Saccharomyces cerevisiae S288C: one gene and its partner. The gene in region 1 interacts genetically with each later gene. Each region holds a gene or a part of one and is shown in the gene's direction. Other genes may lie near its edges.

Evidence for each region. A genetic interaction does not mean that the proteins touch.
Region 2: of BUD14 (region 1) and BNR1, a mutation in one rescues a mutant of the other (synthetic rescue), as found in Saccharomyces cerevisiae (3 studies listed by BioGRID, with this or other methods).

What each region holds. Positions count from the first base shown.
Region 1 is NC_001133.9:164,342-170,839, reverse strand, and holds BUD14 (protein phosphatase regulator BUD14), read left to right. Parts: upstream 1-1,968; coding exon 1,969-4,098; downstream 4,099-6,498. Other genes in the region: serine/threonine protein kinase KIN3, read left to right, coding at 1-444; ADE1 (phosphoribosylaminoimidazolesuccinocarboxamide synthase), read right to left, coding at 545-1,465; YAR010C (gag protein), read left to right, coding at 4,974-6,296. UniProt on the Saccharomyces cerevisiae protein: Important for bud site selection. Seems to be a regulatory subunit of the BUD14-GLC7 type-I phosphatase complex. The BUD14-GLC7 complex is necessary to regulate microtubule dynamics at the cortex and may function as a specific activator of the dynein complex.
Region 2 is NC_001141.2:39,849-46,816, forward strand, and holds BNR1 (formin BNR1), read left to right. Parts: upstream 1-1,976; coding exon 1,977-6,104; downstream 6,105-6,968. Other genes in the region: SMU2 (Smu2p), read left to right, coding at 1-292; POT1 (acetyl-CoA C-acyltransferase), read right to left, coding at 343-1,596; AIM20 (Aim20p), read left to right, coding at 6,353-6,967. UniProt on the Saccharomyces cerevisiae protein: May organize microtubules by mediating spindle positioning and movement in the budding process. Potential target of the RHO family members.

The sequences.
Region 1 (6,498 bases):
CAGGCAAAAAATTATCTCGAGCTACAAACTAAGATTAAAAACGGGAAATGTGACACCGTCCCTGAGTATTACTCTAGAGGGCTTAATGCCATAATACATTCAATGATAGATGTGAACTTAAGAACCAGGCCTTCCACTTTTGAATTACTGCAAGATATTCAGATACGAACTGCAAGAAAGTCGTTGCAATTAGAGAGATTTGAAAGGAAGTTACTGGACTATGAAAATGAGCTGACAAACATTGAAAAAATCCTCGAGAAGCAAGCTATTGAATACGAAAGAGAACTGAGTCAGTTGAAGGAACAATTTACCCAGGCAGTGGAGGAGCGAGCCAGGGAAGTAATTAGCGGTAAGAAAGTTGGTAAGGTTCCAGAATCTATAAACGGATATTATGGTAAAAAATTTGCCAAACCTGCATACCACTGGCAAACAAGATATCGATAAAATTTGCTCTGAGAACATTTATACATTAATACATACGGGTATGTATGAATCATATTCAGTGAGGAGTTACACTGGCGACTTGTAGTATATGTAAATCACGTTAGTGAGACCATTTAGACCCTGTCAATGTTTCATAAGCCTCTATATATTTGGCCCTTGTCCTGTCGACAATGTCTTGGGGCATTTTGACGCCGTTAACACCGTTCAACTTATTAGCAGTAAGCCAGTCTCTTAAAAATTGCTTATCGTAAGAATCTTGGGATTCTCCTACCTTATAAGAGGCACCGTTCCAGAATCTAGAGGAGTCTGGCGTTAGCACCTCGTCCACTAGAATAATTTCATTGGTCTTTTCGTCAATACCGAATTCGAATTTAGTGTCTGCGATGATGATGCCCTTCTCCTTAGCATAATCTTTGCACTTGGAGTACAGTTTTACAGCCAGTTCTGCCACTCTACGTGACAAATCTTCACCCACCAGCTCAGCGGCCTGGGCAGGAGAGATGTTTTCGTCATGTTCACCTTGTTCAGCCTTGGTCGATGGGGTGAAGATTGGTTCTGGGAACTCTTGAGATTCTTTAAGTCCTTGAGGTTGTTTCAAACCATGCACAGTACCTGTTTTTACGTACTCTTTCCAAGCAGATCCGGTGATGTAGCCTCTGACAATTACTTCCAATGGAATTAGTTTATGTTTGTGAACCAATAGAGAGCGGTCTTCTAGTTGCGTTTTGTACTTTGGTTCGCTCAATTTTGCAGGTAGATAATCGAAAATAGTCTTACCTGGGGCGATGTCGACCAAATGATTACGAACATCGTTGGACAGGAACTTGAACCAGAACTCTGACAGTTTGGTCAATAGGATCCCCTTTTCAGGAATGCTGTTTTCCATAATAACGTCATATGCAGAGATACGATCCGTAGCAACAAACAGCAACGTACCAGCGTCTACCTCATATATGTCTCTAACTTTACCTCTGGCCACCAATGGCAATATACCGTCCAGTTCAGTCTTCGTAATTGACATTATCGTTAATATTTCGTATGTGTATTCTTTGTAAGCAATGCTTATGATTCGATTGTTCTTAATAGTACCAACTGCAAAAGATAAAACCCAACCGTCTTACCTCAAAGAATCTGGGTAAGAATATATAGAATGTATATATATATATATGTATGTCTATATGTATTAGATGGCATCTTCGAGATTAGTATTATTACATCCTCATCTCTCGCAAGAGTCAGACTGACTCGTGAATAAGCTTCGGGTGACCCTTATGGCATTCTTTTTCAACCTTCAGGAAAAGTTTCAGATGAGTTGAAATTTCGAGTATGGCTACATGGATCAAGTGCTGTAAACAAAGAAGCTTCTACAGGGGTACGCTGGTTGTGTTTTCTGCTTTGCTATCGTGTAGAACTGGATCCATTCTTTCCTGGCTGTGGTAGTACTTAAGGAGTTGGACGTGTTCAAGTCGAGAAAGAGGTGAAATACACGTAGTTTTTAGATAACATTCTCTGCTTGGTAAGAGAATGAGTAATAAGGAAGAGCATGTTGATGAGACTTCCGCAAGTGGTGTCAAGGAGGTTAGTTCTATAGCTGCTAGACATGACAATGGTTACGCGCCTTCGCTAATCACGTCGACGTCGGGCATGGACTCCTTTCAATCGCACGCGCTACTGAATGATCCAACCCTAATAGAGGATTATTCAGATATCATTAATAATAGGCCTACAAGTGGAAGTAAACTTACTTTAGGAAACGAGGATTCGGAGAGTATGGGCGGAAGTGTTGTGGTGACTCCGACTTCGAATAAGAGTTCGCCCTTCAATTCGAAACTTAATATACTGAGTAATGCGGCAGAAAAGGGCCATGATGTTCTGCGAAATAGAGATGATGACAAAGAGTTAGAGGAGGAGAACGTGGAAAAACATATGCATAGCAACAGTAAAAGGGATCAGCGACATTACAAAGAAAATTCTTCGGAATTGCCCGACTCATATGATTATTCGGATTCTGAATTTGAGGACAATTTGGAAAGAAGGCTACAAGAGATCGAAACTGATTCCGTGGATAGCGCCGATAAGGATGAGGTGCATTTTTCAGTGAATAATACAATGAACCCTGACGTTGACGATTTTAGTGATGGCTTGAAATACGCCATCTCGGAGGACGAGGATGAAGAGGAAAACTACTCTGATGACGATGACTTTGACAGAAAATTTCAAGATTCAGGGTTTCAAGGGGAGAAAGACGATTTGGAGGAGGAAAACGACGATTACCAACCCTTATCGCCGCCAAGAGAACTGGACCCTGATAAACTATATGCTTTATATGCGTTCAATGGCCATGATTCTTCACATTGTCAATTAGGGCAAGACGAACCTTGTATACTTTTGAATGACCAGGATGCCTATTGGTGGCTGGTTAAGAGGATCACTGATGGTAAAATCGGGTTTGCGCCAGCGGAAATTCTAGAAACCTTTCCAGAAAGACTAGCTCGATTGAATTGCTGGAAAAATGAAAACATGTCTTCTCAATCGGTTGCTTCCTCCGATTCGAAAGATGATTCCATCAGCTCTGGTAACAAGAATCAAAGTGATGCAGAGAGTATAATTCCGACACCTGCACTGAATGGATATGGTAAGGGGAACAAATCTGTTAGTTTCAATGATGTTGTCGGTTATGCAGACAGGTTTATAGATGATGCAATTGAAGATACCTCGTTAGATAGTAACGATGATGGCGGTGAAGGCAATGGACAGTCGTACGACGATGATGTTGATAACGACAAGGAAACAAAAGTAACGCACCGGGACGAATACACTGAAGCGAAGTTAAATTTTGGCAAATTCCAGGATGATGATACGAGCGATGTAGTGAGCGACGTCTCCTTTAGTACATCTTTGAATACACCACTAAATGTGAAAAAAGTTCGGAGACAAGACAACAAAAACGAAAGTGAGCCTAAGACATCATCGAGTAAAGACAGAGAAGATGATTATAATGCAAATCGGTATGTGGGGCAAGAAAAGTCTGAACCGGTTGACAGTGATTACGATACCGATCTGAAAAAAGTATTTGAAGCGCCTCGTATGCCATTTGCGAATGGTATGGCAAAATCAGACTCTCAAAATTCCCTTTCAACAATTGGCGAGTTTTCACCGTCGTCGTCAGAATGGACAAACGAATCACCATCCACTCCAATAGTTGAAGAAAGCAGCAGTATTCCATCATCTAGAGCAATAAAGGACATTTCACAATATATTCATGCAAAATCGAAAATTGAAGAGACAACAAACGTGGAAAACACAGAGGGGCAAATTCAAGCCAGCTTGGGGTCTAGTGGAGGAATGGCAAATCAAACTGACGCAGAACAACCTAAAGAGGAGCTAGAAAAACATCACAGTACCCCCGAAGAAGAAAAGCAATCAACCTTATCGTTACACTCATCATCTGAAGAAGATTTTTATATGGATGAACAAAGGGCGGTATCATCAGCAAGCATAAATAGTTCACTTTCCGGATCAAGGGCATTGTCTAATACCAATATGTCCGATCCGGCTTCGAAGCCCAATTCTTTGGTTCAACATCTCTATGCTCCAGTTTTTGACAGAATGGATGTGTTGATGAAACAATTGGATGAAATTATTCGTAAATGATATTGTCCTTACAATAAAGCCTGGTCTTTTTCTCATCCAACGAACTTGCATCATATTCATGAATATTTATTTGTTTTAGAAACATTTCGGAAAAAATAAGGTAGTAACAGTTCAGCATATATGATAGCTAAAACAAACAACTATATATCGTATCTACAAAGTTTATCTTACTTCTTCTATTTTTTAACTTTGCTTCAGATTATGATAATGAAAAGGAGGAATAAAATTCTGTCATTATTCAGCATCCTCCAATGTGTCATAGGGATATAACTGGGGTTGAGGAGGTAGTAGTCGACAACTACTTAGTCGTGATACAACAGTATGGATAGGTACTTTCCACGAACATTACTGATGACAGTCAGCTATTCACGAATTCAATTGTGTTGGATTAACAAAAAAATTTGGACGCAACCGGAATCGAACCGATGACCTCTTCCTTGCAAGGGAAGCGCGCTACCAACTGCGCCATGTGCCCAACTCATTACAATACTAGACTTATGAAGGAATGGTAAGTGCTTAGAAGCTTTATGATGTAGTAGAGATTTAAGGCCATCAATTACATTGTTGAAAATAAGAACCTGTTGGAATAGAAATCAACTATCATCTACTAACTAGTATTTACATTACTAGTATATTATCATATACGGTGTTAGAAGATGACGCAAATGATGAGAAATAGTCATCTAAATTAGTGGAAGCTGAAACGCAAGGATTGATAATGTAATAGGATCAATGAATATAAACATATAAAACGGAATGAGGAATAATCGTAATATTAGTATGTAGAAATATAGATTCCATTTTGAGGATTCCTATATCCTCGAGGAGAACTTCTAGTATATTCTGTATACCTAATATTATAGCCTTTATCAACAATGGAATCCCAACAATTATCTCAACATTCACCCATTTCTCATGGTAGCGCCTGTGCTTCGGTTACTTCTAAGGAAGTCCACACAAATCAAGATCCGTTAGACGTTTCAGCTTCCAAAACAGAAGAATGTGAGAAGGCTTCCACTAAGGCTAACTCTCAACAGACAACAACACCTGCTTCATCAGCTGTTCCAGAGAACCCCCATCATGCCTCTCCTCAAACTGCTCAGTCACATTCACCACAGAATGGGCCGTACCCACAGCAGTGCATGATGACCCAAAACCAAGCCAATCCATCTGGTTGGTCATTTTACGGACACCCATCTATGATTCCGTATACACCTTATCAAATGTCGCCTATGTACTTTCCACCTGGGCCACAATCACAGTTTCCGCAGTATCCATCATCAGTTGGAACGCCTCTGAGCACTCCATCACCTGAGTCAGGTAATACATTTACTGATTCATCCTCAGCGGACTCTGATATGACATCCACTAAAAAATATGTCAGACCACCACCAATGTTAACCTCACCTAATGACTTTCCAAATTGGGTTAAAACATACATCAAATTTTTACAAAACTCGAATCTCGGTGGTATTATTCCGACAGTAAACGGAAAACCCGTACGTCAGATCACTGATGATGAACTCACCTTCTTGTATAACACTTTTCAAATATTTGCTCCCTCTCAATTCCTACCTACCTGGGTCAAAGACATCCTATCCGTTGATTATACGGATATCATGAAAATTCTTTCCAAAAGTATTGAAAAAATGCAATCTGATACCCAAGAGGCAAACGACATTGTGACCCTGGCAAATTTGCAATATAATGGCAGTACACCTGCAGATGCATTTGAAACAAAAGTCACAAACATTATCGACAGACTGAACAATAATGGCATTCATATCAATAACAAGGTCGCATGCCAATTAATTATGAGAGGTCTATCTGGCGAATATAAATTTTTACGCTACACACGTCATCGACATCTAAATATGACAGTCGCTGAACTGTTCTTAGATATCCATGCTATTTATGAAGAACAACAGGGATCGAGAAACAGTAAACCTAATTACAGGAGAAATCCGAGTGATGAGAAGAATGATTCTCGCAGCTATACGAATACAACCAAACCCAAAGTTATAGCTCGGAATCCTCAAAAAACAAATAATTCGAAATCGAAAACAGCCAGGGCTCACAATGTATCCACATCTAATAACTCTCCCAGCACGGACAACGATTCCATCAGTAAATCAACTACTGAACCGATTCAATTGAACAATAAGCACGACCTTCATCTTAGGCCAGAAACTTACTGAATCTACAGTAAATCATACTAATCATTCTGATGATGAACTCCCTGGACACCTCCTTCTCGATTCAGGAGCATCACGAACCCTTATAAGATCTGCTCATCACATACACTCAGCATCATCTAATCCTGACATAAACGTAGTTGATGCTCAAAAAAGAAATATACCAATTAACGCTATTGGTGACCTACAATTTCACTTCCAGGAC
Region 2 (6,968 bases), on another chromosome or scaffold:
TCGAATCTCCCCCATGACAGACTCCGGTAAGATTTCTTTGAAAATTTTATTCAACATACCTTTGGATTATCCAAAGGCCCCAATAAAACTAACGATGAAAAGTAATGAAGAAGTTTCCTCTTACATGGACACCGTGATAGCGAATTTCAACTGGAAAGCCCGTCAATTGGTTAAGGAGGACTGGAGGATATTATCTCAAATAAACTATTTGGTTAGTGAGTTAGAAATATTGAAAATGGAAAATTATAAACAAATTGATAAACTACGTAATAGCTTTTACAAAACCATATAAATATGAGCATAATAAAAAGGGAGAATATTAACTATTATCAAGTATTAAAACTATTCTTTAATAAAGATGGCGGCGGCACCCATACCAGTACCGATACACATACTAACAACCCCGATTTGATCCTTTTTCAGTTCTCTTAGTATGGTAGCTACTTGCCTTGCGCCAGTACAACCCAAGGGATGGCCTAACGCGATTGCACCACCTCTTGGATTTACTTTATTCAAATCGATGCCCAGTTTATGGATGCAGTATAATGCTTGGGCCGCGAATGCTTCATTTATTTCAAAAATATCGATATCTTGGACTTGCAAGCCAGTAGCTTCCAGGACTTTTGGTATGGCGTATGCAGGGCCCACACCCATGATTTCAGGGGGAACCCCCACTGTTTGAAAATCGATGTAGCGACCTAGCACAGGCAGATTTAACTGGTTGGCTACGGACCTGCGGGCTAACAAGACACCTGCCACACCATCGGAGACCTGGGATGCATTGCCCGCAGTTGTGGTTCCTCTGTCTTTGATAAAGGCAGGCCTGATGCTTGAAAGCGACTCCGCAGTGACGTTAGGGCGTGGCCCTTCGTCCGACTGGCAAATTGAGCCATCTGGTAATTTTATAGGTAAAATTTCATCTTCGAAAAGCCCCTCATTTTTCGCCTTGTAAGCTTTTTGATATGAATTCGCAGCGAACTCGTCTTGATCCTTTCTACTGATCTTGAAATTAGCGGCAACATTCTCATTAGTAATGCCCATTGGTATTAGACATTTCTTCGCTTCTCGGTTTTTTTGCAGCTCTTCAGAGGAGATCATGCCCAAGGGATTGACGTTTTTGTAGTTATTGGTCATTGATTCCACTCCCAGCGCCAAACCAATATCAATTTGCCCAACCTTAATCTTGTTGGCAATATCGTTCACCGCCGTTAAACCTGAAGAACATTGTCTGTTTAAAGCGACAAATGGCGTCGAGTAGGGAATCCCACTTGCCAAGCATGCAGCCCTGTGTTCTGTAGCACCGGCTCCAACATTGAGAACATTTCCACAGGCAACTTCTTCGATTAAGTTCAAATCAGCCCTCAAAGGTTCCGGAAACCTCCCGATGAACTCATTGAGAAAGTTGTATAATAAGTAGTCTGTGTTTACATCTTTGAAGGCACCTTTAAAACCTTTACCGATGGCAGACCTGTTAGCAGCCACAATAACTACATCTTCGGGTCTTTTCTCCAGCAACGAGTTCTTCCTCTTCGATTCACCCTTACCCATGGCGCTCTCCACCAAATGATCCTTGATACTTTGTAGTCTTTGAGACATTGCTTTTATGTAGTGTTATATTCACTCTGTACTCAGAGCCACAAGAAATAACCATTCGATTTCAATAGAACTGAGATGCAAAAGTATACCCTATTTATATCTCTTCTTTCTAGTAAAACTCCAATAAATTTGAAACCAATAGAGGGAGAAAGGAAAAAAAAGCTGCGGTGTTAATACTATTATCCCCGTTTCCCTTTGATAGCGCCTTACACGGCGCTACCACATCATTACCCTCCTCATGTTGACGCGTCAAGTTTTTTTTCTTTTTTCGCTATTTGTGGCATAGGTTCAAAACTAGCAAATTCTTGATCTTTTGAAGATTACATAGTGATGATGATCGTGACACAAAAGCAGATAAAAAAATAGCACAATCATCAGCGATGGACTCTTCCCCGAACAAGAAGACGTACCGCTACCCTCGCAGATCGCTGTCACTTCACGCGCGTGATAGGGTCAGCGAAGCCCGTAAATTGGAAGAATTGAATTTGAACGATGGGCTGGTTGCCGCTGGCTTGCAGTTGGTCGGTGTAGCGTTAGAGAAACAAGGTACAGGATCACATATATACATGAAACAGAAGAATTTCTCAGCTAATGACGTTTCTTCGTCACCAATGGTTTCCGAAGAAGTGAACGGATCGGAAATGGATTTTAATCCGAAGTGCATGCCTCAGGACGCATCACTCGTCGAAAGAATGTTTGATGAGCTTTTAAAAGATGGAACTTTTTTTTGGGGGGCTGCTTATAAGAATTTACAAAACATCTCTCTACGAAGGAAATGGTTATTGATATGTAAAATCCGTAGTTCCAATCATTGGGGGAAAAAGAAAGTGACTTCGAGCACGACATACTCTACACATTTGGCCACTAATGAACTAGCTGAAAACGCACACTTTTTGGATGGCCTAGTTAGAAACCTTTCAACAGGTGGCATGAAGTTATCGAAGGCTCTATATAAACTAGAAAAATTCCTGCGAAAGCAAAGCTTTTTGCAACTTTTTCTCAAGGATGAAATTTACTTGACGACATTGATCGAAAAGACTTTGCCACTCATATCCAAGGAATTACAATTTGTTTATCTTCGGTGCTTTAAAATACTGATGAACAACCCACTGGCGAGAATAAGAGCACTACATTCTGAGCCTTTAATTCGCTGGTTCACCGAGCTTCTGACGGATCAAAATTCTAATTTGAAATGTCAGTTACTTTCTATGGAGTTACTTTTATTATTAACGTATGTTGAGGGTTCCACGGGTTGTGAGTTGATATGGGACCAGCTTTCCATATTATTCACCGATTGGCTAGAATGGTTTGACAAAATCCTTGCGGATGATATTGCAATTCATTCATCCCTTTATTTGAACTGGAACCAATTAAAAATAGACTATTCGACAACTTTCCTACTGCTAATAAACTCCATACTGCAAGGTTTCAACAACAAGACTGCACTAGAAATTTTGAATTTTTTGAAAAAGAATAATATACATAACACTATCACATTTTTAGAACTGGCCTATAAAGATGATCCTAATAGTGTCGTGATCATGGAACAAATAAAACAATTCAAATCCAAAGAATCTGCGATATTTGACTCGATGATAAAAACTACCAACGATACGAATTCGCTTCACCCAACAAAAGATATCGCAAGAATAGAAAGCGAGCCTCTATGTCTTGAAAATTGCCTGTTATTGAAGGCAAAAGATAGTCCCGTAGAGGCACCAATAAACGAGATTATTCAATCGCTGTGGAAAATCTTAGACTCTCAAAAACCATACTCAGAATCTATTAAACTATTAAAATTGATAAATTCTTTGCTGTTTTATCTCATAGATTCCTTTCAAGTGTCAACGAATCCTTCTTTTGATGAAACCTTGGAGTCCGCAGAAAATGTGGATTATGTTTTTCAAGATTCTGTTAATAAATTGTTGGATTCTCTACAATCTGATGAAATTGCTAGAAGAGCGGTCACAGAAATTGATGATCTTAATGCTAAGATTTCTCATTTGAATGAAAAATTAAATTTAGTAGAAAATCATGATAAAGATCATTTAATAGCAAAACTAGATGAAAGTGAATCTTTGATATCTCTGAAAACCAAGGAAATTGAAAATCTGAAACTGCAGTTGAAGGCAACCAAGAAAAGACTAGACCAAATTACCACGCATCAAAGGTTATATGACCAGCCACCTTCATTGGCAAGTAGCAACTTGAGTATTGCCGGCTCGATAATAAAAAATAATAGTCATGGAAATATCATTTTCCAAAATTTAGCAAAAAAGCAACAGCAGCAGCAAAAAATTTCTCTGCCCAAGCGTTCAACTAGTCTACTAAAAAGTAAAAGAGTTACGTCCCTTTCATCATATTTAACTGATGCAAATAACGAAAATGAGTCCCAAAATGAATCCGAAGATAAATCAAAAGACTCATTATTTCAAAGATCTACGTCAACCATTAATTTTAATATCCCTTCTATGAAAAATATTACTAATATGCAAAATGTCTCTCTAAATTCGATACTTTCAGAGTTGGAATTTTCAAATAGCCTAGGAACACAACCTAATTACCAATCGTCTCCCGTGTTGTCTTCGGTTTCTTCTTCACCAAAACTTTTCCCTCGACTTTCCTCAGATAGTCTTGATAATGGAATCCAACTAGTACCTGAAGTTGTTAAACTACCTCAACTTCCACCGCCCCCTCCTCCACCTCCCCCTCCTCCACTTCCACAGTCTCTTTTGACTGAAGCAGAAGCTAAACCGGATGGTGTTTCCTGTATTGCAGCACCTGCACCGCCACCCCTTCCAGATCTATTTAAAACTAAAACTTGTGGCGCCGTTCCACCACCACCACCGCCACCGCCTTTACCCGAGTCCTTGTCGATGAACAAAGGCCCCTCCAATCACGATTTAGTTACTCCTCCAGCTCCACCTTTACCAAATGGTCTTCTTTCTTCCTCCTCAGTGTCTATCAATCCAACGACAACCGATTTAAAACCACCTCCAACTGAAAAGCGATTGAAGCAAATCCACTGGGATAAGGTGGAGGATATCAAAGACACACTTTGGGAAGACACGTTTCAACGCCAAGAAACAATCAAAGAATTACAAACTGATGGTATATTCTCTCAGATTGAAGATATTTTTAAGATGAAAAGTCCGACTAAGATTGCAAATAAAAGGAACGCAGAATCCTCAATTGCCTTGTCTTCAAACAATGGCAAGTCTTCCAATGAGCTGAAGAAAATTTCATTCTTATCAAGAGATTTGGCTCAGCAATTTGGTATTAATTTACACATGTTTTCCCAATTATCTGATATGGAATTTGTTATGAAAGTATTGAACTGTGATAACGACATTGTCCAAAATGTTAACATACTGAAATTTTTTTGTAAAGAAGAGTTAGTAAATATACCAAAAAGTATGCTTAATAAGTACGAGCCATATTCACAGGGTAAGGATGGTAAAGCAGTAAGTGACTTACAAAGAGCTGACAGAATATTTTTGGAGTTGTGTATCAATTTAAGATTTTATTGGAATGCAAGATCAAAGAGTCTGCTGACATTGTCAACATACGAGAGAGATTATTACGATTTGATTTTCAAGTTACAAAAAATTGATGATGCAATTTCACACTTAAATCGTTCACCTAAATTTAAAAGTTTGATGTTTATTATCACGGAAATAGGCAATCATATGAATAAAAGAATTGTTAAGGGTATCAAATTGAAGTCATTGACTAAACTTGCCTTTGTCAGATCCAGTATTGATCAAAATGTATCATTTTTGCATTTTATTGAAAAAGTCATAAGAATAAAATATCCTGATATATACGGTTTTGTGGATGATTTGAAGAACATTGAAGATTTAGGTAAAATCTCACTAGAACACGTTGAATCAGAGTGTCATGAATTTCATAAAAAAATTGAGGATTTAGTTACTCAGTTTCAAGTAGGAAAGCTATCCAAAGAGGAGAACTTAGACCCCAGAGATCAAATTATTAAAAAGGTCAAGTTTAAGATTAATCGGGCCAAAACAAAAAGTGAATTATTGATTGGTCAATGTAAATTAACTTTAATAGATTTGAATAAACTGATGAAATATTACGGTGAAGATCCCAAAGATAAAGAGAGTAAAAACGAATTTTTCCAACCCTTTATTGAATTTTTAGCCATGTTTAAGAAATGTGCCAAGGAAAACATTGAAAAGGAGGAAATGGAAAGAGTGTACGAACAAAGGAAGAGCTTGTTAGATATGAGGACAAGCAGTAATAAGAAAAGCAATGGAAGTGATGAAAACGATGGTGAAAAAGTAAACAGGGATGCTGTTGATCTACTCATATCTAAATTACGCGAAGTAAAGAAGGATCCAGAACCTCTAAGAAGAAGAAAGAGTACAAAACTCAATGAAATAGCCATTAACGTACATGAAGGAGATGTAAAAACGAGAAAGGATGAAGATCACGTTTTACTAGAGAGAACGCATGCTATGCTGAACGATATTCAAAATATATAGTGAAGACTTAGTATTTTATGTAGTTGTGGAGCTTATATAAAGAAATGGACAATATTCGCAATCGCTTCTCAAAAGGGAAATATTTTCCCTTTTCGGGCGGTGGTCGTGTTGACAAATTTCCTAGTTAAGAACTAAGATTTGGAGATGGACAGATTCATTAATAAATTTCAAAATAAGCACAGAAAGCATCGAATTTTTAGCTCAAAACAATCTACTTTTCAATCATCAAAACAGACTATTGAATAAAGATGGGCAATGTGTCTGTGGCAGTGGGAACGGCAGTTGGGATTCCAATTGCTGTGGGCGTAATAATAGCCCTGATATTTTGGTGTAAATTACAACGACGTTACAAAAAAGAAGAGATTAGAGATGCTGATTTGGAGAAGATGGTAATGGAAGAAGTGGCAGTGTCGGTATATGATGGTTTTAAAGCCGAAATTAACAGCTCAAGTGAAGCTTCCACGATAAACGAAAAGGAAGCAAACCAGGATCTTAAACCCTGCCAAGAAAAAACCGCCAAGGCAGGGTACACACCAGCATACAGAAGGCAATTGAACGCTAGTATGGGGACTTTGCGTCCAAAAAAGCAGAGCACTGCATATACCAATGTCCCCGTCATTTTCAGCGGCGAAAAGGTGAATTATGGGATGGTCAGAGATCCTTCCTATAGTTTTATGTATCCACTGACGCTATCGCGCAAAGAAACGAGTAGTTTGAGATCAGCTTCTACGTCAAACTTGTCATCGAGCACAGAAAATACTGCGTTACACGAAGAAATAAAACTGGATGACCCATATGAAAACGATTTTACGAATTATACTGTCAACAAGAGAGAATTTATTGACAGCTTACGGCCACACTAAT